Linked DNA regions of Mus musculus. The protein of the gene in region 2 interacts with the protein of the main gene of each other region in a pairwise test. Links are inferred from orthologs where the notes say so. Each region holds a gene or a part of one and is shown on either strand. Other genes may lie near its edges. The genes, in order: Neil2, Rel, Exosc5, Nck2, Tstd2, Tssk3 and Plekhn1.

The links.
Region 1: the proteins of Rel (region 2) and Neil2 interact in binary tests that used the Homo sapiens proteins (3 or more experiments, as listed by UniProt). The two-hybrid records come from large-scale screens. The link is inferred for Mus musculus from reciprocal best matches to the Homo sapiens genes REL and NEIL2.
Region 3: the proteins of Rel (region 2) and Exosc5 interact in binary tests that used the Homo sapiens proteins (3 or more experiments, as listed by UniProt). The two-hybrid records come from large-scale screens. The link is inferred for Mus musculus from reciprocal best matches to the Homo sapiens genes REL and EXOSC5.
Region 4: the proteins of Rel (region 2) and Nck2 interact in binary tests that used the Homo sapiens proteins (3 or more experiments, as listed by UniProt). The two-hybrid records come from large-scale screens. The link is inferred for Mus musculus from reciprocal best matches to the Homo sapiens genes REL and NCK2.
Region 5: the proteins of Rel (region 2) and Tstd2 interact in binary tests that used the Homo sapiens proteins (3 or more experiments, as listed by UniProt). The two-hybrid records come from large-scale screens. The link is inferred for Mus musculus from reciprocal best matches to the Homo sapiens genes REL and TSTD2.
Region 6: the proteins of Rel (region 2) and Tssk3 interact in binary tests that used the Homo sapiens proteins (3 or more experiments, as listed by UniProt). The two-hybrid records come from large-scale screens. The link is inferred for Mus musculus from reciprocal best matches to the Homo sapiens genes REL and TSSK3.
Region 7: the proteins of Rel (region 2) and Plekhn1 interact in binary tests that used the Homo sapiens proteins (3 or more experiments, as listed by UniProt). The two-hybrid records come from large-scale screens. The link is inferred for Mus musculus from reciprocal best matches to the Homo sapiens genes REL and PLEKHN1.

The regions. Positions count from the first base shown.
Region 1 is NC_000080.6:63,183,526-63,187,025, forward strand, and holds part of Neil2 (endonuclease 8-like 2), read right to left. Parts: intron 2,710-3,500; coding exon 2,513-2,709; intron 40-2,512; coding exon 1-39. UniProt on the Homo sapiens protein: Involved in base excision repair of DNA damaged by oxidation or by mutagenic agents. Has DNA glycosylase activity towards 5-hydroxyuracil and other oxidized derivatives of cytosine with a preference for mismatched double-stranded DNA (DNA bubbles).
Region 2 is NC_000077.6:23,768,170-23,772,257, forward strand, and holds the start of Rel (proto-oncogene c-Rel), read right to left. Parts: upstream 2,801-4,088; 5' UTR 2,521-2,800; coding exon 2,511-2,520; intron 1-2,510. UniProt on the Homo sapiens protein: Proto-oncogene that may play a role in differentiation and lymphopoiesis.
Region 3 is NC_000073.6:25,662,153-25,665,342, reverse strand, and holds part of Exosc5 (exosome complex component RRP46), read right to left. Parts: intron 2,207-3,190; coding exon 2,093-2,206; intron 1,096-2,092; exon of another isoform or gene 1,017-1,095; coding exon 895-1,016; intron 1-894. UniProt on the Homo sapiens protein: Non-catalytic component of the RNA exosome complex which has 3'->5' exoribonuclease activity and participates in a multitude of cellular RNA processing and degradation events.
Region 4 is NC_000067.6:43,444,539-43,448,550, reverse strand, and holds the start of Nck2 (cytoplasmic protein NCK2), read right to left. Parts: upstream 2,801-4,012; 5' UTR 2,524-2,800; intron 1-2,523. UniProt on the Homo sapiens protein: Adapter protein which associates with tyrosine-phosphorylated growth factor receptors or their cellular substrates. Maintains low levels of EIF2S1 phosphorylation by promoting its dephosphorylation by PP1.
Region 5 is NC_000070.6:46,128,476-46,131,975, reverse strand, and holds part of Tstd2 (thiosulfate sulfurtransferase/rhodanese-like domain-containing protein 2), read left to right. Parts: coding exon 1-133; intron 134-2,628; coding exon 2,629-2,749; intron 2,750-3,500.
Region 6 is NC_000070.6:129,488,508-129,492,088, reverse strand, and holds Tssk3 (testis-specific serine/threonine-protein kinase 3), read left to right. Parts: upstream 1-1,318; 5' UTR 1,319-1,482; coding exon 1,483-1,627; intron 1,628-2,157; exon of another isoform or gene 2,158-2,266; intron 2,267-2,356; coding exon 2,357-3,018; 3' UTR 3,019-3,081; downstream 3,082-3,581. Other genes in the region: protein FAM229A, read right to left, coding at 295-397, 528-674, 754-890. UniProt on the Homo sapiens protein: Serine/threonine protein kinase required for spermatid development and male fertility.
Region 7 is NC_000070.6:156,223,235-156,225,512, reverse strand, and holds part of Plekhn1 (probable pleckstrin homology domain-containing family N member 1), read left to right. Parts: intron 1-84; coding exon 85-165; intron 166-245; coding exon 246-318; intron 319-471; coding exon 472-596; intron 597-674; coding exon 675-788; intron 789-894; coding exon 895-975; intron 976-1,580; coding exon 1,581-1,656; intron 1,657-1,798; coding exon 1,799-1,947; intron 1,948-2,074; coding exon 2,075-2,215; intron 2,216-2,278. UniProt on the Homo sapiens protein: Controls the stability of the leptin mRNA harboring an AU-rich element (ARE) in its 3' UTR, in cooperation with the RNA stabilizer ELAVL1.

The DNA.
Region 1 (3,500 bases), on a different chromosome or scaffold from region 2:
TCCTTGCTCTGTACAAGGCTTCATTCTTTATGATGTTCCCTGAAAACAAAGGGAGACGTGAGGGGAGGAAAGCCTCAAACTTGCTATGTAGCCTAGGCTAAACTGCTGAGCCCCCCCCCCCCACCTTGTCTTCTAAGTGTTGAGCTCACTAGCTCACAATCTGTCTCAGGTGATGATGAGTTCAGTCCATCTTGCTGGTTACTGAGCAATGGCCTTGCTAAGCGGAGGAGAGTAAGTTCAATGGTACATGGGGGCCACAGTCTAAACAGTTGACGTTTCCCCAAGAGTTTCATAATCTCACTGCGGTTACAGCTGAGGCCTACCTGGACTCATCTCAGCTTCGCTGCTCACCAGCGAGGTGCCCTTTGCTTTAGTTTCCTCATCTGAAGAAAAGGGAAAGCTAACAAGTGATTATCCCATGGAACAGCATAAGGGCAGGACTGTGCCCGAGTCCCTGGAGTTATTGACTCACACTGGCTCTCACCAGTATCATTGTGTAGTCAGGTCTCTGCGCACATCCAAAAGCCACTGCTGGAAACCTTGTTCATCCTTCTGGCACAGAAACAGACTCCACTGGTTCTCCCATGAGAGCACAGCACTTTCACATCTTTTCAGCATGAACTATACTCACGGCAGGCAAGTCACACTTTGTATATGCACACAGCTTTGCCAATAGCAACTGCTTTAACAGCCAGTTGTGGTGCCCCTTATTGCTCTCCTGTGGGCAGAAAATAACCCTCCCCGTACTAAGAACTATAGCATTCCCTGTCTCAGCTGGAAATGCTCACAGTTTCACTAATCTATTCTCCAGAGCAGAGACCTGCTTCTTTCTCTTGGCTTCTAAGAGCCTGGAGCTGACCTGATACCTGACTCTGCTTCGATATCAGAAGCCCCAGTGCCCAAGAGCAGTACCTATTAGTGGGCATTCTCCTCCCTCTCTTCCAATGGCCTGCAGGACAACCATTCCCAGCATGACTTAACCCAGAACCTTCTAGATGCTCTGTAGGCTTTAGAGTGTGCCAGGTACACAACGTGATCCCTCTGTCAGGAGGTCATACTGATATCACATCAGAAGGCCTGTGACAGTCCTATCATGTCAGAACATGGTCCAAGAATGGAATCATTCGAGGACAATTCTGAGTGCTTGTGAGAAAACTCCAAGAAAACCAGACAAGAGTCTTGTGACCTCAGTTTCTTCAAAACGTGGTATTATTCTTGGAATATGTTTTCATGCTCTTCCCAGGTATATCAGATAGGGGAGAGTTTACTTTGTTGTTCACACAACTGGCTGTTATGTATTAATAGATTTGTGGGTTTTTTTTTTATTTTTGGTTTTGGTTTTGGTTTTTTCGAGACAGGGTTTCTCTGTGTAGCCCTAGCTATCCTGGAACTCACTCCCTTAGACCAGGCTGGCCTTGAACTCAGAAATCCACCTGCTTCTGCCTCCCAAGTGCTGAGATTAAAGGCGTGCTCCACCACCACCAGGCTGTATATATAGATCTGTGATGGCTATTCCTAGTTATCAACTTGACCACATCTGGGATTACTACAATCCAGAAATGGAGGGCACACTTGTGATCTTGAGCCTGGAAGATACAGGTTTCTGACCTGGATCTCAACATGGAGATCTTAAGGCATAGTGGCCATTAAAAAGCTTAAGCAAGGTAGCAAGGTAGTACACATCTTTAAACCCAGGAGATTTAGGAATAACAGATCTCTGAGATCAAGGTCAGCCAGGAACAAAGTAAATTCCAGATTCAGGCATGGTGATACACATCTTTAATCTGGGCCACACCTTCTGCTGGAGGCCTATAAAGGACATTGGAAGAAGGAAGATTCACTCTTTTTCACCTGCTTGCACTTATTTGCCAGCACATCTGTTGGAACCTACTGTTTCAGGATTCTAGAAGACCAGCTGAAGCAACTAGTCTGTGAGACTGAGAAACTACTAGATTTTTGGACTTCCCATTCACAGCTGCCCATTGTTGGGTTAGTTAGACTACAGACTGTAAATCATTACAATAAATTCCCCTTAATATGTAGAGACATTCCATAATTTCTGTGACTCTAGAGAACTCTGACTAATACAATATCTTTATGGAAAAACGTGTTTTGCCACATGTAGCTTGTCCTTATGATTGTATACAGACTGAACTCATGAGAGCTTTATTCAGGTGACCATTCTCTTAACTCTCAGAGTATAAATTGTCTGATGCTTTGAATAAAGTTGGCTATTGCATGAAACTTTCATCTTCCTCATTTATCAGGTCCATTTCCCAGGTCCCACTGCCTCTAGAGCAGAAAACACTATCTTGTTGTGAATATTACACCACAGAAAGAAGTGAGGATCTTCTTAAACTAACCCGAGTCTAAGATCAAGGGATAAACCAACCTTAAAACCAACAGTGTTGGCACAACTGGGATAGTAGTCCTTAAGTCTTGCCTGCCCTACAGATGAGTCACTATACCATTAATCAACTCCGTGGGGCTCCTCCCATCACACAGGTCATACCTAATCCTGAGAAGTATCTCTGGTCCAAGAGTGTGTAGCACACAGGCTGAGCCTGGCTTAGAGCTTCCAAGGCTTGTCCTCGATGGAACTTTTCAGACAATATGTCACAGGTGGGCTCAATCACTGGGGGAGGGCTCCATGACATCTGGCAGTTATAAAATACCAGGAAGCCACCACCACTAAAATGGAGTACCAGCCTGAGGAGACAGAAGAGATCATACATATAGTGTTCTCACACATAATGAGATCATACATTACAACCACCACTGTGTGGTCAACGCATATATTCATAAACAGTCCTCTGTAGAGTCAGTCCATAAGTATATATAGTTACCACAACATAATCTACTCACACATGCAACTATCAATGTACATCACCATATAATTATTGCTATATAACCATGTCACATGTGTGTATAGTGACTGCTATGTGGGTCACATTTACACACAGTTACTTGTCCCATATGCCGTCAGGTCAGCTGCACATTATGTTTCTATACTAGTCTGGATCAAACTGAGAAATTAAGGTCCTATGATCAGAATCATAAATACCTCAGGGCCAAGAGGTAGTAAGTAAAATATGAATATACATTGCTTTCTAATACATTGCAGCAATCCATGCTGATAATGAAAAGCTGAAAATCTGAATCCAGAAGGTTAGTGGGACCAGAGCTGGGAGTTGGGGGGAGGGGAGGAGCTCATTATGGAGAAGATGAAGAAATGGCGGCAAAGAGCATCATTTCCAGTTTCAAGCCAGATTAACTAACTCCTGCATGTATGTGCCCCTAAGCAAAGAAAAGACATATAACACACTTCAGTAAGAAAATAATGGGATTCATTCTAGGGATAGCTTATCCAACCAGAGCTACCCCTACACTGGAAGCTGCAAAACCGGAGTCCGTGTCTGACCTAGTTAGTGTTCTCGGGAAGGGCAGAGACAACCTCGGGAAGCTAGGAGGTAGGTACATGCCCGTAATCCCAGTGTGCA
Region 2 (4,088 bases):
TTCACTTTTATTGGGGGGGGGGAAAGGTTATCTTGAAATTCATACAAAAAGTTGGTGAGTAGTAAGGTCCACAAAAATAATTCCTTCCTATACTTCCTGTTATGTGACACAGCAGAATCATGTTAAAGAAAAAAAATGTGACTAAATACAAACTTTCTAAATTTTAAAGTACATTTCACCAAAGACAATCTTAATCATTAGTAAAATAGTATGTATCTTACAAGGCAACTGTGCACCTCCCTCCACTTTGTTCTTTTTAGGAAATAGTGAAAATTTTTAGATATGGACACAAGACAGCTAACTTAAATAGAATACAATTGTTTGAATAATGACTGCTTAAATATGCAGATCTTTGATCAGGAACATTTTTTTCCATGTTGCCTGCTATAATTAATCTTATCAAAAAGCTAGAACAAAGCACAGTATTGTTTAAAAGGCAATGAAAAACAGCTTAATGGCTAGCTAGGAAGTCTTAACTTGCTAATTTACCTGAACAATAATTAGTATCATCATATAAAATCCTGTCTTTTCACAACATTTATATAATTCTGCCCAGGAGATTATTATCTACGACACTTTACATTTATAAGCACCACCTATTCAATTACACATACCTATTTACATATGACATCGGAGAGGAATGAACAAATGATCTCAATGCTTGGTAATCAATATGAATACTTTCCTAGGTTTCAGTACTATATTGCAAAAAAAAGGATCTAAATTACATAATCATAAGTTAAACAGTTTTGTTGCTTTTAAATTAGTATTTCAAAGGGAATGGGAATTTTAAATTTATTTCATAATTTTTCTCTATTTGGTCTTTATAACTGATATAAGGTACCCAGACTCCTTTAAACTATATTTTTGCCTAGAAACTTCAAATAGCAGAATTACAATTTAAATGACATGGTGTATTTTAAGTAGTCTCATTTAGTGCAACCCTTGATAAAAGATCAAAAAGCAAGAAGATAATGATACTACAACTTGCAGATTTGTTTTCTATGTTTGTTGGGATTTTTTTTTTTTCTCTGACAGTACTGAGAACTGAACCCAGGGCTTCACAGAAGCTGGGCAAGCCCAACCCAACTTCTAAATCCTTAAAACTTGCCATTTCTTTTAAAAAGTTCCCCACTTTAACTTTTGGAATCATTTCTATAACAGCACAAAATATATGTCCTTAGGCAAATTGCAATTGTATTACATTTTAAAATCATATCTGTCTTACAGTTCTTTAATAAATGACTTTTCTGTTGAAAAAAATTCAAGTATTGCATTCATACACTATATAATAAGATTCTATTAGGTAGACAAGGACAGAACTGTTTTAACAAAGCTTGCCACTCTTTACAAATGTCATACAAAAATCTCTTTCTGATTACCAATGAATTAAATACTTAAAGCCTTTTTGTGCTTCTAATCAGAACATGAGTTAAATTTACAAATTTACTAGAGCATCTGAAAGCCTGGCTTCATTTAAATGGGTAAAGAGAAAGTTGAAATATTTTAAACTACACTTGTTTTCTCATGAAAACCACAGACAAACTGAAATCAAGTGTCATGTGAAACACCCCAGTTTCCTTTACAGCAGGAGTTATGATATTGTTCTGCTCAACTCTTAAAGAGTTCACTAAGCTTTCTACTTCCTCTTCTCTGCCAGACGTCGGCTGCCTTCTACTGAGGGTCACTGGGAAGATAAGGGTCAGCGTCCTGCTACAGACAGAAGGTGTCATTTTTAGCTCCCACCACCATCTCAGCTGCTTCAAGTGCTTGCTTTACATATAGTACGACTGTCATACTAAACTCCCCTGTCCTGTAAACTGTTTCTTATAAATGTCCCCCTCAAAGCAGATGATCCAAAACTTACTAGTGGCAGATAAAACACTGACATTAAACGATGACATTTTCAACCCTACCAGTTACTTTAAAGTATAATCAAATCTCGTCCTCTTGCTGCTAACAAAACGCGCGTGCAGGTTTGGGGTTGGGGGTTGAAGGGATCGAGGTCTCTACACGGTAAATTAGACAAGCAACATCTTTAGCTCGTGGGGGCGGGGGTAGTGTTTTCGCTTGGAACGAATTAAAACGCCACTGAGGACTTTCACAGCCACGCCACATTCTGTACCAGTGTCAGCCGCTAGCACGATTGGACTTAAAAAAAGAAAGCTCGTCTGAGGTCCGGAGGTTCCTCTTTTTTGTTCAAAAATGTAAAACTGGGTCTCCATACCACTGAGTCTTTAAACGCGAGGCTTCTCTGCTCTCCTTTACTGAGATTACCCCCTGTGATCCTAAAAGCACACCGTTGGGAATTTCGAAGGTTCTGGCTATTAGGAGAAGATCAGATTACAGTGCGCCGCTTTGATTTCACACGCAAACCCCGGAGCGGGCAACTTTTCAAACGGCTGACAATTTGCCAGATGAGAAGACTTGAAAGGCAGACCGTCCTAACCCCAAACGGAGCCCCCGACAGCTCCTCCCCGTGACCCGCGAGTGCTCGCCCCGGTACTCACTCGAGGCCATGGCTCGGCTCCGCGCGCCGCTCGCTGCAGCTTCCAGCGTCCGGCCCGAGGCTGCAAGGCAGCCAGTCAGTCAGTCAGTGAGTCAGTCAGCCAGGCAGTCGGTCAGGCAGGCAGTCAGCCAGCTAGCCCGTCAGTCAGCCAACCAGTGAGGAGGCTGAGCAGCCTCCGCAGCCGGGACGCCTGTCCTCGGACCACCCCCGGGCCTCCTCTTCTTTCCCGGCTCCTCTGGGTTTGCGGCTCACACCTTCCCACCCCCGAATCTTCGCGCTCCGGTCACTAGTGTCCTGGCGTCGCCTTGCCAGGATGCCGCGGCAGGGGCAGGGGGCGGGGCGGACCGCCCGGCGGAACGTGGGGGGAGGGGGGGGGATTTCCCGCTGCTTACGTCACTCGCGCCACCGCCTACCCGGGGCGGGGGGCGGAGCCTCGCGGCGGGCGCGCGACCCCGCGCGGGCCAGTGCGCTTACTTCCTCCAGAGCCACCACAGCCTGCACGCTCGCGCCGGGAGCTCCGTGAGGGCGCGCAGCGACGACTCCGCGCGTGAGAAGCCGTCGGTCCCTGAGAAATCCCCCTCCTCCAGAGTCCTTGAGAGCGCCGCTTAAAGCCGAGGGGCGTGTTCGTGACGTCATGCTGGCCGAGCGGCCGGAGGCGGGCCGGGCGGTGCACCGGGCGCGCTCCTTGGCCGCCCGAGGCCCGCCCGGGGTTTTCGACCGGTGGTTCCCCCTCTTCCCGATTTCGCACATGCAAATCTCCGCCCCCGCGCCAGAGAGTTGTCCGGGTGCTCTGGAGGGGAAGTGCGGAAGCGCCAGCGCCCGCGTTCGGCAGTAAGGCGCAGATTTGCATACGGGGACCCCCGCAGCCTTATTTTCCCTCTATATCTACATTACGTCTTTTACCTACCAAAGTTTTTCAGCTGCACTGCGAGGCCGCTAACCCCATTCTGTATAAATGTACACGACGTCCAGAGATTGGCCGAGATACCCACGGCCTGAGGCCTGGACCGAACTTTGGTGCTTTGACAGGTCAGGCGGAATCTTGTTTGCCTTCAGTTGCTAATACGCACCTGTTCTCTTAGTCTATGATGTATTAGCATGTCATTGTATACACGAGTATTAGGGTTGATTGGGGTTTGGAGAAGCTGAGTAGCTTGTCCATACTTTAGAGTTCTAGAAAGGAATTGCACGATTTAAGCTTAAGATTATCCAGCCCCGTTTAGCGCACTGCACTCCCAGCACGCGGGAGGCTGAGGTAGGTGGACTGTCTCAACAACAGAAATAACTCAGGGTTATCTGGCTCCACCTCTTACGTTCTCCAGTCATTTACTGACTAAAACAAGTAATGGAGGGGAAATAGAGAATATCATCTTGCATGGCCAACAAGATAGCTTAGAGAATAATTGCGCTTGCTACCAAGCCTGACAAATTGAGTTTGATCCATGGAAGGACAGAATCAACTTCCAAAAGTTGTCCTCTTACCTCTACATGCGCTTCAAAGAACGCCAAAGTGTGTGTGTGTGTGTGGGGGGGGGGGGGTTGGATAATTAAAATATATACTATCCTGTCATAAAAAATT
Region 3 (3,190 bases), on a different chromosome or scaffold from region 2:
GACTCATCACAGAGCAGCGGCGTGGCAGGATGGTTACGCGGTTCTGGCGCCAAGTGGCTGCCGCTGCTCCACACCAGGTCTTACCAACTCTCTCCCAGCTATGAGATCAAATGGTTTTCTCCATGTCTCATATCTTTGTGTTAGATGGGACAATGCTAGGGAACAGGTATGTACACTAAGGGATATACCAAGTGTCATGAGTGAAACAGGGTCAAATAGAGAGATATCCCAAAGCCACACAAGAAAGACATTACTGGCAAAGCCAGGCCCACCCCCGGGGAGTCTAGTAGGCAGCTACCATGCTAGATAATGGAGCTCTGAGGTGGGACGTGCCTGGAGCTTGAGTCCCACCCTTGTTTCCATCTTGGTCCCTTAGACCAAACACTGCCCCTCACCTGAAACAAGGCAACATGAGAAACACACATGGCAGGGCTCTCGAACCAGAGAGCCTGAGCCCACTGTCTTGGGATTTACATAGGAATTACAGTGCTACCCAATACAAGCCCAGTGAGAACTAAATGACTTAACATCATGAGGTGCTCAGTGCCAGGCCCAGCAGCACACAGTAAGCCCTGCTTGCTAATTTTTAAAAATTACATTCATCTACTTGTGTGTGTTCAGGGGCAGGTGTGTGCCATTGTGCTCACGTGGTAGTTAAGAGGACAACTTATGGGAGTTGGTTTTCTCCTTCTACCATATGAGCCTTGGAGACTGAACTCAGGCCGTCAGGCTTGGCAGCGAGCACCTTTCTCCACTGAACCATCTTGTTGACCATGGCCTTGTTGTATGCTCTGCAGGAGCTGCTGCCTGGCACAGGTCCTGGGTGGCTGAGGGTACGGAAGCCGGAGGGGAGGTTCTGGCCACTTCCTGGAGGAGAGGGCTGGGAAAGGATACAGAGCCAGCGTCGCTCACCACCTGCAGCACCACGGTGATTGAGGTCCGGGGGTGCAGGGCCCCTAGAACCACAGCTTCACAGGTATTCCTGACCAGCCGCTCGCGGCTCTTCTCGGCCACGCCTGGGGAGACGGGAAGCGGTCAGGCTCTTCCCTTCCACCCCGTCGTCTTGCTCTGCTTGGTCCAGCCTCTGGAGGGAGACTTCAGGAAGGGGCTGTCAGCCTCAGTCCGGGTCGGAGTACACACTCCCAGGAGAAAGCGGGCGAGTCTGCAAGTTTCTGAGTAACTCCTGCTATGGCCAACCTTGGCCAGGGGTCTACCAGCCAGCCACCCAAGGAGGAATACCCAGAGGTGCCCATGTCCTGTGCTACTGGCCATATCTACTCTCATCAGAGCAGGCCCATCCCATGACACATGGGGAGAAGTGGTAAAAGGGCAGAAAAACAAGTTAATGGGAAGGAAGAGCGAGGAAGGCAAAAAAGGGAAGAAAGAAAAGGCTCAAGAGAGGGTGGGTCTGGTGGTACAGGTCTGTAATCTCGAGACTTTAGGTTAGGCAGTGGGATCATGAATTTGAGGGCAGCCTAGGTTATAAAGAGAGCTCACTGCCAGCTCAGAGGACTTGAGACCCCGTCTCAAAAAGTTAACAGGGGGGCTGGTGAGATGGCTCAGCAGCGGTTAAGAGCACTGACTGCTCTCCCAAAGGTCCCGAGTTCAAATCCCAGCAACCACATGGTGGCTCACAACCATGAGATCTGACTCCCTCTTCTGGTGTGTCTGAAGACAACTACAGTGTACTTACATATAATAAATAAATAAATCTTAAAAAAAAAAAAAGAGTTAACAGGGCTGGCTACATGGCCTAGCCACATAGCCTTAAATTCACTAGGGAAAAGCTAATGGTGTGGCTCAGAGCTGGAATTCCTGTCTGGAGACCACCAGTGAGGATCTGGGAGGCCTAATCTCAGCAGCAGAGGGCTTGACCGGACTCCACCCTGGAGAGCCTGGGACTGTGGCTTCCTGGAAGTGCATCTGCCCAGCAGGCCTGATGCTCTAGATTCCATTCCAGTGCAGCAGAATCAAAAGCTGGGCAAAGAGGGAGGAGAGCAGGGCAGCAGAGACTGGACACAGCAAGCATCGAGGGGTCAGATGAGGTCCCAACAGACTGGATCTTTTGGGGGGCTCAGTGGAGTCCAGTTACCAGGCAGCCCGATCTTCGGCCTCAGGATCACTTCAAGGGTGGCCTTGTTGAAGATTTCTTTGCTGACCTTCACCTCGGCCGGCCCATAGACTCCAGCCAGGACAGAGGTATCACCTGGGGGAAAGAGGGAGGCCTTGGCCGCTCTGTGCTGCACTTAGCACTTCTTTCCTCTGCTCTCTTAACTTTAAGCAGCTAAGTACCTTCCTCATGGTAAGTTTGTGAAGATCAGGTGACTGTGGCTCACAGAAGCAGGAGGCCCTCAGTCTCCCAACATCACACAAGAAGATGAAATAAATGCCAACTTTAAAGAGACACAGTTCACTTGAAACATATAAGACACTGGCCAGAAGGTGCAGAGCTTACCACAGACTTCAGCCACTGGTTAATTTTTAGAGGTAGCTGGGGTTTGCAGAGATGGCTGGTGGTGTGTGTCAGCATGCACACTGCTCTTCCAGAGGACTAGAATTCAGTTCTCAGCACCCATTATCAGGCTGCTCACAACCACCACGAAACCCAGCTCTAAGGGACTGACACCCTCTTCTGCCTTCATGGGCACTCGCACACACAGCTCTCGCCCACACACGCATATACATATCCCAGTGTTTGGGAGACACACAGGAAGATCAGGAAATCAAAATCATCCTTGGCTCCAATGGTAAGTCTGGGGCTACCCTGAGCTACGGGAGAACATCTCATAAGCCAGCCAAGCAGAAAACAGTTATTAGATGCAATTAAAATATATTAGTAAAATACATTTTAAAAGGACAAACAATAAAGATTGTGAATGTGTAGGGGGTCTTAATTTCTACTTATTTCCCCCAAATGGTTATGAATGGGTCTGGAGACCTCGTGTGACTTTGCTAACGTCCACAGGCGTCAGAGAGGCCACCTACGATGTGAAGGCACTGCATTCAACAGCAGTTTCCATGTTTCTGACTGTAACTCCCAATGCCCACTACACTTTACAGCACAGCTCCAAATCGATAAAATGTATGTGTATAAGTCGGTCAGAGGTTGGGGCTGGAGAGATGGCTCACAACTGTATGTAACCACAGTTCTTGGGAAGATCGTACTCTTCTGTCCTCAGGCACTAGGGAC
Region 4 (4,012 bases), on a different chromosome or scaffold from region 2:
ACAAACAAACAAACAAAAAAAAAACAAAAAACACCATGGCTGCATACCTCTGATAGCTTGTTTTAAAAGGCTGCCTAACTTACACAGAACAGCACACAAATGGCATCATTGTTTTTTCACATATGTCCTTTGAAAACACCTTGAGAAATGTTTCTATCACTCATTTTTTTAGGAAAGAGAAACAATTCCAAAGCAACATTTGAAGTCCCTCTGGATGGGAAAATGAATTTCCTAAGTCTCTATGGGAAGCTTCCCGGTCCTTTTGTAAGAAATGTTAGCTTACAAGTTTCCCCAACCACTGTTCCCTACACTGCTCTGCACTTGCAACAAGCAGTCTTGAATTCTTCAGTCATTAAGGCTCATTATGAACATCAGAAAATCATTTCCACGAGCCTCATCAGCCCCAGTGCACACTGCAAGCCAGTCAGTTAGAAGCATGTGTGCCCTACAAAGCAACCAAGCCCAGTCTTGCCAGGGCAAATTAAGCTAATGCAAATGATCAAATAAAGGACTACAGGTCACTATGCAATCAGTGACTATCGGGCTGTTTTCAAGGGGTCATTCGGTCTGCTCCAACAAGGAAAGCTCTGGAGAGATTTAGCAAGGATGAGAGCACATTTCTCAAACACCTGGGTGCTGCTGTTTGTCAGCAATGTTCAGTACCCCAATGTTCAAGACAGAGGTCAGGAATAAGCCCGGATCAAAGAGAAAGGGAGGAAGAAGACTGAAGCAAGGACCCATGGGGAAAGCAAAACTGAAAGCCTGGAAATGGACTGAAGAGCCTACAAGGAGTTGGAAACCACCTTTTATAAGTTCGACCCATTTTAAAGGGGGTCAGTCGTCTCTCCATCGGTGGGCAAATCGCCTATCAAGTGTCCAGAGCTCACATAGCAACTTCCAACCCTGAAACTGGGGCTCTGTTCAAGCACGTGTAAGAAACTGAGAGCAAGACAGGCAGTAAGCTGTAAGTCAAAGCTTTACAGCTGCACAAAGTTCTCATTTCAGCTTCAGGTCACTGGGACCTTTACGTTCTTCAATCAAAACTACGCTAACCTACCAGGAGGTGAGAAAGTTTAAGGGAGGATTGTCACTTGTGGTCACTTAGGAAAGACCCGAAGGTGTAAAACCTTATCTGTCTAAAGTGCACTTTCTCCATTGTGTTCACTGGCTGCCTTCGCTACATAAACCAGGCACATGCACGAGAAAGTCCGGTTTCTACCTCTGTATCTATAAACACTTGGAAAGTGAATGGAGGGAGTGCCCACAGCACAGTTGAGATGTTCTGATAAAGTAGTGACCTTTAGACTAGAAAAACCACAGTTGCTAACTATACCAAAAAAAAAAAAAAAAAAAAAAACCCAGGCTGGAAACACACCCAAAATTATTCTCATTCCTCCTCAAAATCTCTGCAGAAAAGCCTGTATTGGGAGAGGAGCAGAGAAGTCTCCAGGGGAGGATACCAGCAAGCCACGCCCACTGGCCAACGGGCTGTTTCTTTTTGGGTCAACCAAGGAGCAGGCCTGTGCACCTCCAGCCCAAACTCGGACCTGTTCATCCCACACACAGACGCAAACTTGGCAAGACTGGCCTTAAACCTGTTAGCAAAATAAGGAGAGCCAAATAAGGAGGAAGCGGCCAACCTGAATGGGTTAGGGTGGCAGGGCCCACTCCACTTGGCACCCAGCTGTGTCCCCAAGCTGTTCACAATACTACTGTAAGTCACCTCTGCTATCCATTAACCACCACCCGCGCACACCTTCCGGGAGGATCGCTGTTGTGTATAAATAACAGCGTTTTGCAAATCAAACCTCTCCACACAATGCCAAGCTAACAGCGCTCAAAAGGGAGGTGCCACCGGGGCATTAAAAGTCACACATCAAATTCTTGCAGAACCACTTGCTTAAATCGCCCTGAATAAATAAACTGAGGGGGCAGAGCAACCGGGAAAAACTTTGGTTGAGGAGGTTTAAGTCTTGGAAATGCGGGACCGGGCGCAGGGACTGGAAGGAACCAGGCACAAAAGCGCCCTGCGCCGAGGCAAGGACCTCCTTTATGGAACGTGACAGCAGCTTTGTGCCGGATCACGAATAGTTCTAAATACTGGAAGTTCTCCCCGGCCATCGCAGCCTCCCGCTTCCTAGCGCTGTGGCCCTCAGATCCCAGGCTATTCTTCCCAGGCACGCGCGCCCGGCGACCTGGCCACTGTTCGGTCCCACGCCCGCCCACAGGCCAGGGCTGCTAGTGTTCCCGAGGGCTTTGGGTCCTTGGTCCCCGGAGTCCGCCCGCGGAGGGCGCCCCACCCCCACGCCAGCCCCAGGCAGAGGGAGGCGAGGGCTCGCAGGAAGGTGTGTGTATCCGAGGTGCGGGTGCCCGGGGACGCCAGGCCGCGGCGGGGCTGAGGGCACCGGCCGGGTACGCAGGGGTACGCGCTCCCTGGCCCTCCCCGGGCGGCCGCGGCCCGCTCGCCCCTCTCTTCCAACTCCACGGACCGGCCCAAGTTTGCAGCCCCCGCCATCGCCTTACCTCGCCGCACAGTGCACGCCGAGGCCGGAGGGCAGCAGCGCGAGTCCCGGGGCGGCGGCCGCGCTGCGCCCGCCCAGATGCCGCTCTTTGTCTGCACCGCTCCCTCCTCCCGCCACCAAGCGGACGCAATTGGACCCGGCGGACCCCGCCGGCCCGGGAGCCCCGAGCCTGCCTGCCGCCGAGCCCTCCTCACCACCACCGTCGCCGCCGCCGCCCGCTCGGCCGCGCGCACCGGCCTGCGATCCGCGGCGGCGACCCTCCCGCGCAGCGCCCGCCTCCGCGCGCTCCCCGCCCGCGCTCCTCCCTGGCTGCCGTGACGCCGCCCAGGGGCCGGCCCAGCCCGGCGCACGCGGGGCGGGGGACCCACCTGGGAGTCCCAGCCAGGCCTCGGGAAAGCGCCGCCTGGGGGCTTCAAGCCGTAACCCGCTCTAGATTGGAGCTGGGGGCACCCGGGAGGGGCTGCTAGGGATAAGGAGGTGCCACTTGCAGCCCACGAGACCGGGTGGTCTCCGCACCCGGCTGTGCGTCGGGAGCCTTACAGCGACCTCCCTACCCCGCCCCCCAAGCATTCCCACGGCACTCTCAGCCAAACAGGCCTGGTGTCTGTCAGAAAAGTGACTTACATAAAAATGTCACTTCCTCCCAGTAATTGCTTGTGGGCATTTTCTTTATTTATTTGCCTTGCATTTATTTACTTTCCCATCCAGACACTTTTTTACTCCATCCCCCCCACCCCCAACCTCCAGGCGGGACCACTTCCTAGTGGGGGAGGAGAGGAAACCCGACCTCAGCTGCCTCCGCAGCGTCCTGGCCAGTTTATTAGAGCCCAGGAATTCTTTAGTACAGGAGGCTGAGAAAGCTTTAGAAGGAAACCTTGCTCTCCCAGACTTGAGTAGTAGCTAACCTATAAGCAAACTTGGAAAGCTAGAACCCTGGATCGAAGAGAAGGACTGGATCCAGAGGTTTCTTCTCCAAGCTCCTTCGCTCCTTATACCCCAAAGGAACCCCTGATATTCAAATAAATTCCGCTTTCAGGTCGGACGACTCACATTTATGTTAATGAGATTCAACCCTAGCCCTTGTTTCCTCCTTATTAAGGCAGAAACAATTCACCCTACGTAACAAAAAAAGAAAAAGAAAGAAAGAAAAGTTGCCTGCCTTCTTATAGGAAGTTCCCAGGCATAAGTAACGTGAGGAAGCTTGGCTATAGTCCTCGCAGCCATTGACCGTAGGCTCCTGAACTGTGTCACCTTACACAGGTGTTTCACAACTTCCTCGGCTTTATCACATGAGATGTTTACCTGCCTTCTATGTTAAGTACCTGGCACGTAGCCTGACACGAGGGCACTAGGAGGCATCCTGTACAAAATCAGCACACCCAACAGTCTCTTCCAGTCGGAGATGCTAGCTTCATCCGTTCTTTGTTACAGACCTCATCTTTGTTACTATCTAGCTTTACAACAATGAAGGCAGAACTCTAACCAATAGT
Region 5 (3,500 bases), on a different chromosome or scaffold from region 2:
CAGCATTGAGTGCCTCACAGAGCCTTACGCCCACAGACAAAAGGAGCTCCCCCAAAGACTGTCTCACTCCTAGTCAGGAGGTGTCTGCTTGGCTTCCTGATGTGAGCCATGTTAGCCCCCAGGAGCTGAGGAGGTAAGTTTTGCACTTTGTAGTTTGGTTTACATTTAAAATATTTTCAACCACAATGAGATACTACAGATAGCCCACTGAAATAGGAAAATGAGAAATAGCAGCCTTGGTAGATACAACTGACATGGGGAGGCAACTGAAGGGCCCAGGCGTTGCTAGGGAGAGTACAGAATTCTCCTTCCCAGCGATCCACTCCTGGGTGTGTGGCCAGCAGAAATAAAACACACACCCATAAAAGCTTAAACTCGAATGCTTGTGGCAGTTGTTGTTTTTTTTTAATTCATTCTTTTAATAGCTGAGTAGTACTCCATTGCATAAATGTACCACATTTTCTGTATCCATTCCTCTGTTGAGGGGCATCTGGGTTCTTTCCAGCTTCTGGCTATTATAAATAAGACTGCTATGAACATAGTGGAGCATGTGTCCTTTTTTTTTAATATTTTTTTTTTTAGGTATTTTCCTCATTTACATTTCCAATGCTATACCAAAAGTCCCCCATAACCTCCCCCCACTCCCCTACCCACCCACTCCCACTTTTTGGCCCTGGCGTTCCCCTGTACTGGGGCATATAAAGTTTGCGTGTCCAATGGGTCTCTCTTTCCAGTGATGGCTGACTAGGCCATCTTTTGATACATATGCAGCTAGAGTCAAGAGCTCCGGGGTACTGGTTAGTTCATAATGTTGTTCCACCTATAGGGTTTTTGTGGCAGTTTTATATGTAATAACAAAATGTTGGAAACAACACATTATTTTGTATGCTAACTAAAAATAAACTAGTTGTACTTCCCAATGTTAGCGGCTGGAGGAATGGTCCATTGGGATAAATGCTTGCCACATAAATGTGAGAACCTAAGTTTCAGTCCCCAGGACCCATTTAAAGCCAGCCGTGGGAGTGCTTGGGGTCATCCCAGTTCTACAGCAAAATGGGAGGCAGGGACAAGAATCCCCAGAAGCTCCCAGGCCAGCAAGTGTTGGGTACTCAGCAGTGAAGAACAAACACGGTGGAAGATGAGGACCAACACCCAAGATTGTCCTTGGACTCCCACATACACATTGTGACCTCCGTGTGCCTTCATTCATACAAGAACACATTCCTACCATATACATACATCATACACACAGGCATAAAGATTTAAAAAAATAATGACTTAAAAAGACAAACTGGAAACAACTGTAAGTAGCCATAGCAGGAGAGTGAAAGGATAGGTGGAGTCATGACAGAACACTGCTGCCTAGAGTGGTGGAGCACGGCAGACACTGATGAATTTACAAATATGCATCTAGACAGACCAATCGTCCATCAAGATTATTGGGAAAGGCTGGAGAGATGGCTCATGGTTAAGAACGCAAGCTACATTTCCAGCTGATGCAGGTTCCATTCCCAGCATCCACTTCCTGGATAACTACTGTCTGTGATTCCAGGGGATCTGATGCCACCTTCTGGCCACCATGGGCACTGCAAATACAGACAAGCATGAAGGCAAAACACCCATACACATAAAAATACTAAATGCATAAAATGTTTAAAAAATTAGAGGGAATACAATATTCTATATACTGAATTTTTATACTCTTTTCTGGTCTCCTAAAGTAGTGATGTCTTCTCAGTGGTTTAGTGCTACTCTGTGAGCATGCTGACATAGAAAAGTTTGTCTTATGTGGCCAATAATAACACGTCTATAGATAAGTGTACTACATGAAAAAATGGAAGTAAAATGTTTTTCATGGTGAGCCAGTCAAACCAGATACTGCCTTGTGATTGAGGATAGGCCACAGTGGGCTCAAATTCCCAGCTTGCCTGTAAAGTAGGGTTAATAATACCTGTCTCCTGGTGTGAGAGCTAAGTGAGGACAGGGAAGCGAGTTTGCTTTTTGTAAGAAGTCTGGTGCAGATACTGTACTATGTAGAGAAAATATGAAGAGAAGTGCTCTTATGTTAGGAGACTAAAGATAGGAGGGAGGCAGAGGTTGTTCCAGCTTCATGCTCTCCTGCTCTGCCTGGGTGCACTGGGAACTGTGGCTCCCTGTGGCCCTGCTCTCCAGTTCTGCCTGGGTGCACTGTGAACTGGGGCTCCTTGTGTCAATGCTCTCCAGTTCTGCCTGGGTGCACTGTGAACTGGGGCTCCTTGTGTCAATGCTCTCCAGTTCTGCCTGGGTGCACTGTGAACTGGGGCTCCTTGTGTCAATGCTCTCCAGTTCTGCCCCGGTGCACTGGGAACTGTGGCCGTGCTCTCCAGCTCTGCCTGGGTGCACTGGGAACTGTAGCTCCTTGTGGCTCCAGTTCTGCCTGGGTGCACTGGGAACTGTGACTCCCTGTGGCCGTGCTCTCCTTCTCTGCCTGGGTGCACTGGGAAGTGGGGCTGCTTGTGGCTCCAGTTCTGCCTGGGTGCACTGGGAACTGTAGCTCCCTGTGGCCGTGCTCTCCTTCTCTGCGTGGGTGCACTGGGAAGTGGGGCTCACGTGGCTCACATGCTCCCTCCTCTGACTTTCCTTGTGTAGTGGCCAGGGTGACGAGGAAGGAGAGGTGCTCCTGTATTACTGCTACTGTGACTTGGAGGACCCCCATTGGGTCTGTGCCTGGCAGACAGCTCTGTGCCATCACCTGCACCTTACAGGCAAGGTAAGCCCTGCTCCAGATGTGCCCTGCAAGCCTCTTCTTGTCTCCTTAATCTTGGATTGTAGGAGCTGTGCTCTTTGAGAAGTCTTCACATGGGGGTTCTCGAAAGGAGGGAAACCCTGCTTGCAGGGTAAAGAATAAACCAGCTCTTGATATGTTGCTTATAGACCAGGCCTCAGTCACCCTATACCTAAAGGGTCAAATAGTAAATATTTCAGGTTTTGTTACCTTTTTTTTAATTCATTGTTGTTATAGATTGGAAACATTCGTGGGCATGGCTAGGTTCTGATACATCTGTCAGCTGAGACAGGGAAATGTACTGAACTCCAAAGCCTCTTATAGATTCTGCATGTTTGATTACAAGTCACACCTTGGTTTTCCTAGAATCAGGTCTCTGGTGATCTCAGGTGTGACATTTACTCCTTCCCTTCTGTGCGGCCCTCCCCTCCTTGTCAGGCCTCCTGTACTCTGAGCGAGTGCCACTCCAGTGCTGCTCCCTCAGCAGTACAGTGTGCAGGGTCCTCACCATGCCCTGCCTTTGCTGCTGCTTAAAGACTTCCTGCAGTCTGAGAGGAGAGCCTGTCTCCCTTGTGGGGGGGCCTCGTGAGGTCAGAAGCTTTGCCTTCACTGGGGCATTCTCAGCGCTGGAACAAGGTTCAGCACTTAACAGGCTCTGTAAGGATTGGAAACTGTAGAATAAAGGAAATTAAAACTGCATGTTTGTCCGGTATCTATGAGTGTGTGCTATGAGAGG
Region 6 (3,581 bases), on a different chromosome or scaffold from region 2:
GGAGGTGGGCAGGGAAGTGGAGGCGGGTGGAAGTCTGGTCTAAGAGTGGAGGTAGCCCAAGAGTGATACTGGCTGGGTCCGAGAAGTCGGTGGGCCCGATCCGACGGATACACATACACGGCCAGCCCGGAATGGAAAGAACAGTTTATGCTGTGCTTTATTAAAATGTGCATCATTCTTTTATTTTAAAATGTGCATCATTGTCTCGTGCTCGGCGCGTGCGACCTCAGCGTGGTGGCCCGCGGCTGGCCTCGTCCGTCCCGGCTCCTGCAGAGCTGCCGTGCGCAGGCGCACTCAGGTAGCACGGGCCCGGGGGCTCCCGCCCATGGCCAGGTAGACGTCGATGGGCACGTGCAGCAGCGTCAGACAGTGGCAGCCCGGGCAGCGTCGGAGCGGCCTGGCGAAAGCGGCAGGCGACAGGGGGCGCAAAGTGTTGGGGCGCGCCAGGGGATGCGCCTGGGATCTTTGGGGGTAGGGCCCTGGGGATGGCGATGGGGCAGGGCCGAGGGGTGGGACGACGGACTCACCTGACAGGGTTTTGATCCGTAGCTACAGGCTCCGGGCTATCCTGGGACTCGGGGGCGGAGGCAAGGCCAGGGGAGTCTCCGGCCTCAATGGGGAATCTTCGACCCTGTGGGGTCTCCTGGGCACTCATGTCCAGGCCCCGGGGCACTCTGTATAGGAGTGGCGGTCAGGCAGCTCCGGGCCCCTAGATGCTCCCTGCCCGTGCCCGTCTCCTGTGTCGTGGCTTACCTGCCAGAGGCCGAGGCCGGTCCCAGGCTGGAAGCAACTGCCCGAGCCCTGGCCACGGGAGGACGCTCCGGTCCAGGCGGAGCCTGGCAGGTGTCTGCTGCGCGCCCGGGCCCCAGCGTCGAAGGGGAGGACTGCATTGTGACCCCGATCTCTGCGTGCTGACCTCACACAGCCTGTTCCTCGCTGGAATTCTTAGGCAGTCCCAGAGCGTTCCGGCATTTAGTGAGGGCCCGGGCCTGAGGCCAGAGGGCTCTGGAGATCGCACCTTGGTGACCAGTTTGCACTCTTTCCCAACAGCTGGATGGGGACTTCGGAGGTGAGGGCGACCTGCCTGGAAGCGGAGCCCACATGGAGAAGGCCCGCCTCCCTGACCTACGCGGCCACCCAGGCCCGTTCCCCAGCATCGCTACCACTCTGCGCCTTGCTCAAGACTGACTTAACCCATGCTGGATTTGCTGGTGGTGGCGAGGGAAAGTAGGGACACTGCCCATGTTGTCTGAGGGTCACACAGCATTTACATCACAATTGGGCAGGAGTTTAAAAATGTCTGGTCCTCTCCCTCCCCACCACCTGTGGCTGTGTCCAGACGGAGAATGTTCTAGCCCTGGAGGCAGCTGTGAATGAAGTCCTTGGGGGGAAAAGAAGCAGGCCGAGGGCGATGGTGGAGTAGAGCTGCCTCGCAGAGGCAGCATGAGCTGAGAGGGTGACAAGAAGGAGGCGCTACACAGCATGGAGGACTTTCTACTCTCCAATGGGTATCAGCTGGGCAAGACCATTGGGGAAGGGACCTACTCAAAAGTCAAAGAAGCATTTTCCAAAAAACATCAAAGAAAAGTGGCAATTAAAATTATAGACAAGATGGGAGGGCCAGAAGGTGAGCTGGGGTCCTTGGGAGGAAGGGTGGGCTAGCCAACACGGGTAGGCCCTTTCCTCAGAGCATCTCTTCCTCCCTTTGAGTCAGGATGGCAGAAAGCAAGTCAGATTCCTGCCCTAAATAGAAGGATGTAGGGAAACCAGGATCCTCACACCTTTCCAGAGCCACAATCGTAGCACAAGAAAAAGAAAGGGTCCTAAACCGGGCGTGGTGGCATGCGCCTTTAATCCCAGCACTCAGGAGAGGCAGAGGCAGGTGGATTTCTGAGTTCGAGGCCAGCCTGGTCTACAAAGTGAGTTCCAGGACAGCCAGGGCTATCCAGAGAAACCCTGTCTCAGAAAACAAAATAAAAAACAAAACAAAACAAAACAAAAGGTCCTCAGTTTTTCCTGTCCCAAGAGGCGTTGGCCAGAAGACAGCAGGAACTGGTACCCTGCAGGTGGAAGAGGGACAGGACAATAGATCCCTGGAAAGAATAGTGAGATGCAATAGCTTTGAACTTCCCAAATCCCTCATCTGTGGTCTCACAGGCTGCTGGGAGGAGGTTCCAAGGATGAGCTAATCATGAAAGGAAGGCAATACTTGCTGCTAGAGACACCCGAGACTGGTCAGGGAGTCAAGAAAGAACACCTAGACATGGTAGGTGTCTGGAAGCTGGAAAGCAGGAGCCAAGAGGGAGGAACCAGGACGTTTTGATCTTGATTTTTGTCTCCCCACTTTTTCCCTCAGAGTTTATCCAGAGATTCCTGCCTCGTGAGCTCCAGATTGTCCGTACCCTGGACCACAAAAACATCATCCAGGTGTATGAGATGCTGGAGTCAGCAGATGGAAAAATCTACCTGGTGATGGAACTGGCTGAGGGAGGGGATGTCTTTGACTGTGTGCTGAACGGAGGGCCACTTCCCGAGAGCCGGGCCAAGGCCCTCTTCCGCCAGATGGTTGAGGCTATTCGCTATTGCCATGGCTGTGGCGTGGCCCACCGGGACCTTAAGTGTGAGAACGCCTTGTTGCAGGGCTTCAACCTGAAGCTGACCGACTTTGGCTTTGCCAAGGTGCTACCCAAGTCACGCAGGGAGCTGAGCCAGACCTTCTGTGGCAGCACAGCCTATGCCGCCCCTGAGGTGCTACAGGGCATACCCCATGATAGCAAGAAAGGTGATGTCTGGAGCATGGGTGTGGTCCTGTATGTAATGCTCTGTGCAAGTCTACCTTTTGATGACACAGATATCCCCAAGATGCTGTGGCAGCAGCAGAAGGGGGTGTCCTTCCCCACTCATTTGGGCATCTCAACCGAATGCCAGGACCTGCTCAAGCGGCTCCTGGAACCAGACATGATACTCCGGCCTTCAATCGAAGAAGTTAGTTGGCACCCATGGCTAGCAAGCACTTGATAAAAGCAATGGCAAGTCCTCCCCAATAAAGTAGGGGGAGAAAGCAAACTGAAAAAACCCGCTTCTAAAATGGTGATCTATATTTTACACTTAAGTCCACTTCTCCCATGGCTGACTTCCACCTCCTCATTGCGGCTCCACAGGCCTCTCACCTTCCCTGTAAAGACCTTCCTGGAACTAAGGGCCTTATTTAGATTTTTCTTTTATTAATGGCGCTCAAATGATTTTCATATAGGTGATTAATTAGCACTCATTACGTTAGGCCCTAGCAGCATCAGCAGGCCGGGAGAAGTGAGGAGAGAAAGGTGAGCCCGTGGAACCACTCAGGTGCTACAACTCGCTTTCCAGATAAAAGCCAACGCACCTGGAATGCAGGCCTGACCTCCTGACTCCTTGGCTTGGTGAGAAGCTGCTTGGGCCCAAACCTTTCTCAAACCAGAGGCCAAGCTGAGTCAGGAAGAGACGGGGCATCCTTAGCACCCAGGCTGGATCCCACCTATGAGGCCAAAAGTATGCTTGCAGCTGTGGGAGCCTCTGCCGAGGGGGACAGAAACATCCCCGGA
Region 7 (2,278 bases), on a different chromosome or scaffold from region 2:
CAAGTCGGCAAATACGTGGGAGCCAACATCCACGGCCGGGGCTGTCTCCCAGCCTCTGAGACCAGTGGCTCTGCTCTCCCCTAGGACATCAGTGACTGCTATCTAGAACTGTTCCCTTCCCACCTGTACTTCCAGGCCCATGGTTCTGAGGGACTTACATTCCAGGTGAGTGGCACAGACGGAGGGAGGGAGGGACTGTGTCCCCTGGGAGTCCCTGCAGCCCCTCCTATACTATCCTGTGGCAGGGACTGCTCCCACTGACGGAATTGAACATCTGCCCGACTGATGGGTCCAGAGAACATGCCTTCCAGATTACAGGTGTGTGGAGAGAGCTGGCCTGGCCACAACTGGACCAGGACCTCTAGACCGGGCATTGGAGGTCCACTTGCAGCCCTTGGAGAGGAGACTTTCCTGTGGGCTTCTGTGAGTTCTGAGCTTGAGCCCTCGCCCACTTGACTCTTCTGCCCCTAGGCCCGCTGCCTGCCCCACTCCTTGTTCTCTGCCACAGTGAGGCCGAGCTCAGCCACTGGCTCTACCACCTGGAAAAGCAAATGGCTCTCTTGGGTCTACAACGATGCCACTCGGCACCCCCACAGGTCAGTAGCAAGAGCCTGTGAGTCCTCCCCCACCCAGACTCTCTGCCTGCCTTTGACCTATTCTTTCTTCCTCCTCAGGGGTCTCTGGGAGATAAACCCCCCTGGACCCAGCTACGGCGAGCATATGGGTGTGGTTCCATGAGCGGCGCAATCTGTGCCTCAAGGGTCAAGCTGCAGCATCTGCCCTCCCAGGTAGGTGGGGAAAGACCTGAGGTGCAAGGAGATGGGGAAGGATGCAGGAACAAGTCAGGCTGGACTCCGGGTGCCCAACCCTACTCTGCCCTTTGACCCCTTACAGGAACAGTGGGACCGGCTTCTGGTACTATACCCAGCATCCCTGGCCATCTTCTCTGAGGAACCAGAAGGCCTTAGCTTTAAGGTTGGCCCTCTCCACATATACCTGACCAGGAAGGTGCCCTTTCTGGGGTGGGGGTGGAGACTCAGAAACCTGTATTTCAGGGCCTGTTGGGACAGAGCACAGGGCTCCACCTATCTGGCCCCACTGCCCTGGTCAGTCTGGTCCCTGCTCTGGCACAGAGCAGGAGTCTCCACCCTCTAAATCCCATCTCATCCTGCAGGGACATTGTTACTCTTGGAGTGGGTGGAATGGAACAATCTACTTCTTGGGATCTCTGGTGCATGTTGCCCCTCTGAGCAGCTTCCATGCATCATGGAAGGGGGGGAGGTGCGTGTGCATGTGTCTAGGACTAAAGCATGACACTGGTGTGCACTCACAGTCACTGAAAATCAAAACAAGGGGGCCTCCCTCACAGGGGCCGGTCCCTATTAGCATCTGCCTACAACTGACATTAGCTGGTGAAGATCCAACAGGAGGTAGAGTGGAGATGTTCCAGAACAAAGCTGCCTGGCCTTTCTCAGAGTGTCATCCTGAGTTTCCAGCCCAGCTCTAGAGATCAGGATGGAAGAATAGGGCCAGGAAGAGGCTGAGATGACCCAGATAAACACCTAGTCCTCGTTCTACAGGGGGAGCTTCCACTAAGTGCCATCCATATCAACTTAGAAGAGAAGGAAAAGGAGATTCGCTCCTTTCTCATCGAAGGTAGGGTCCTACCGAGAACTAGCCACTGCTTGACCGGGCTTCTGGGAGGGGTGTGAGTTTGGTGGACGCTTCATCTCTTTGCTCTGTGGGATGAGAGATGTACTTGTCCTGTCAGACCTTAGTTCACATATCTGTGTGCTAGGCCACCTCATCAACACCATCCGCGTGGTATGTGCCAGTTATGAGGATTATAGCCAATGGCTGCTGTGCCTCAGGACTGTCTCTCGCAGGGATGGGGCCCACCTGCCACCTGGCCCAGAGAGTTTCCCAGGATTACAGAAGCCCACACAGGTGAGAAGTCAGTGAGGTCCCTGTAACTCGGGTGTGGCAGTGATGCAAACTAGGAGCAGGAAGTTAGGTCCAAGCGGGGATAGAGAAGGAGACAGACCCGGCCACTCACCTTACTTCTGCTACTTAGCTTGTAGGTAGAGGCCGAGGTTCACTCTCTTCCAATGGACGGAGCAGCTGGAAATTAGAGTGTCCAGTGTTCCCCACCAGCCAGTCCCTCCCTGAGTCCTCGGTGCCAACCACTATAGGCTTCCCTGCCCCTCCTGTACCTGTAAGTACCTAAAGGAATGACATGGGAGTGGGATTAAAAAAAAAAGGGGGGGACTTTTGTCTC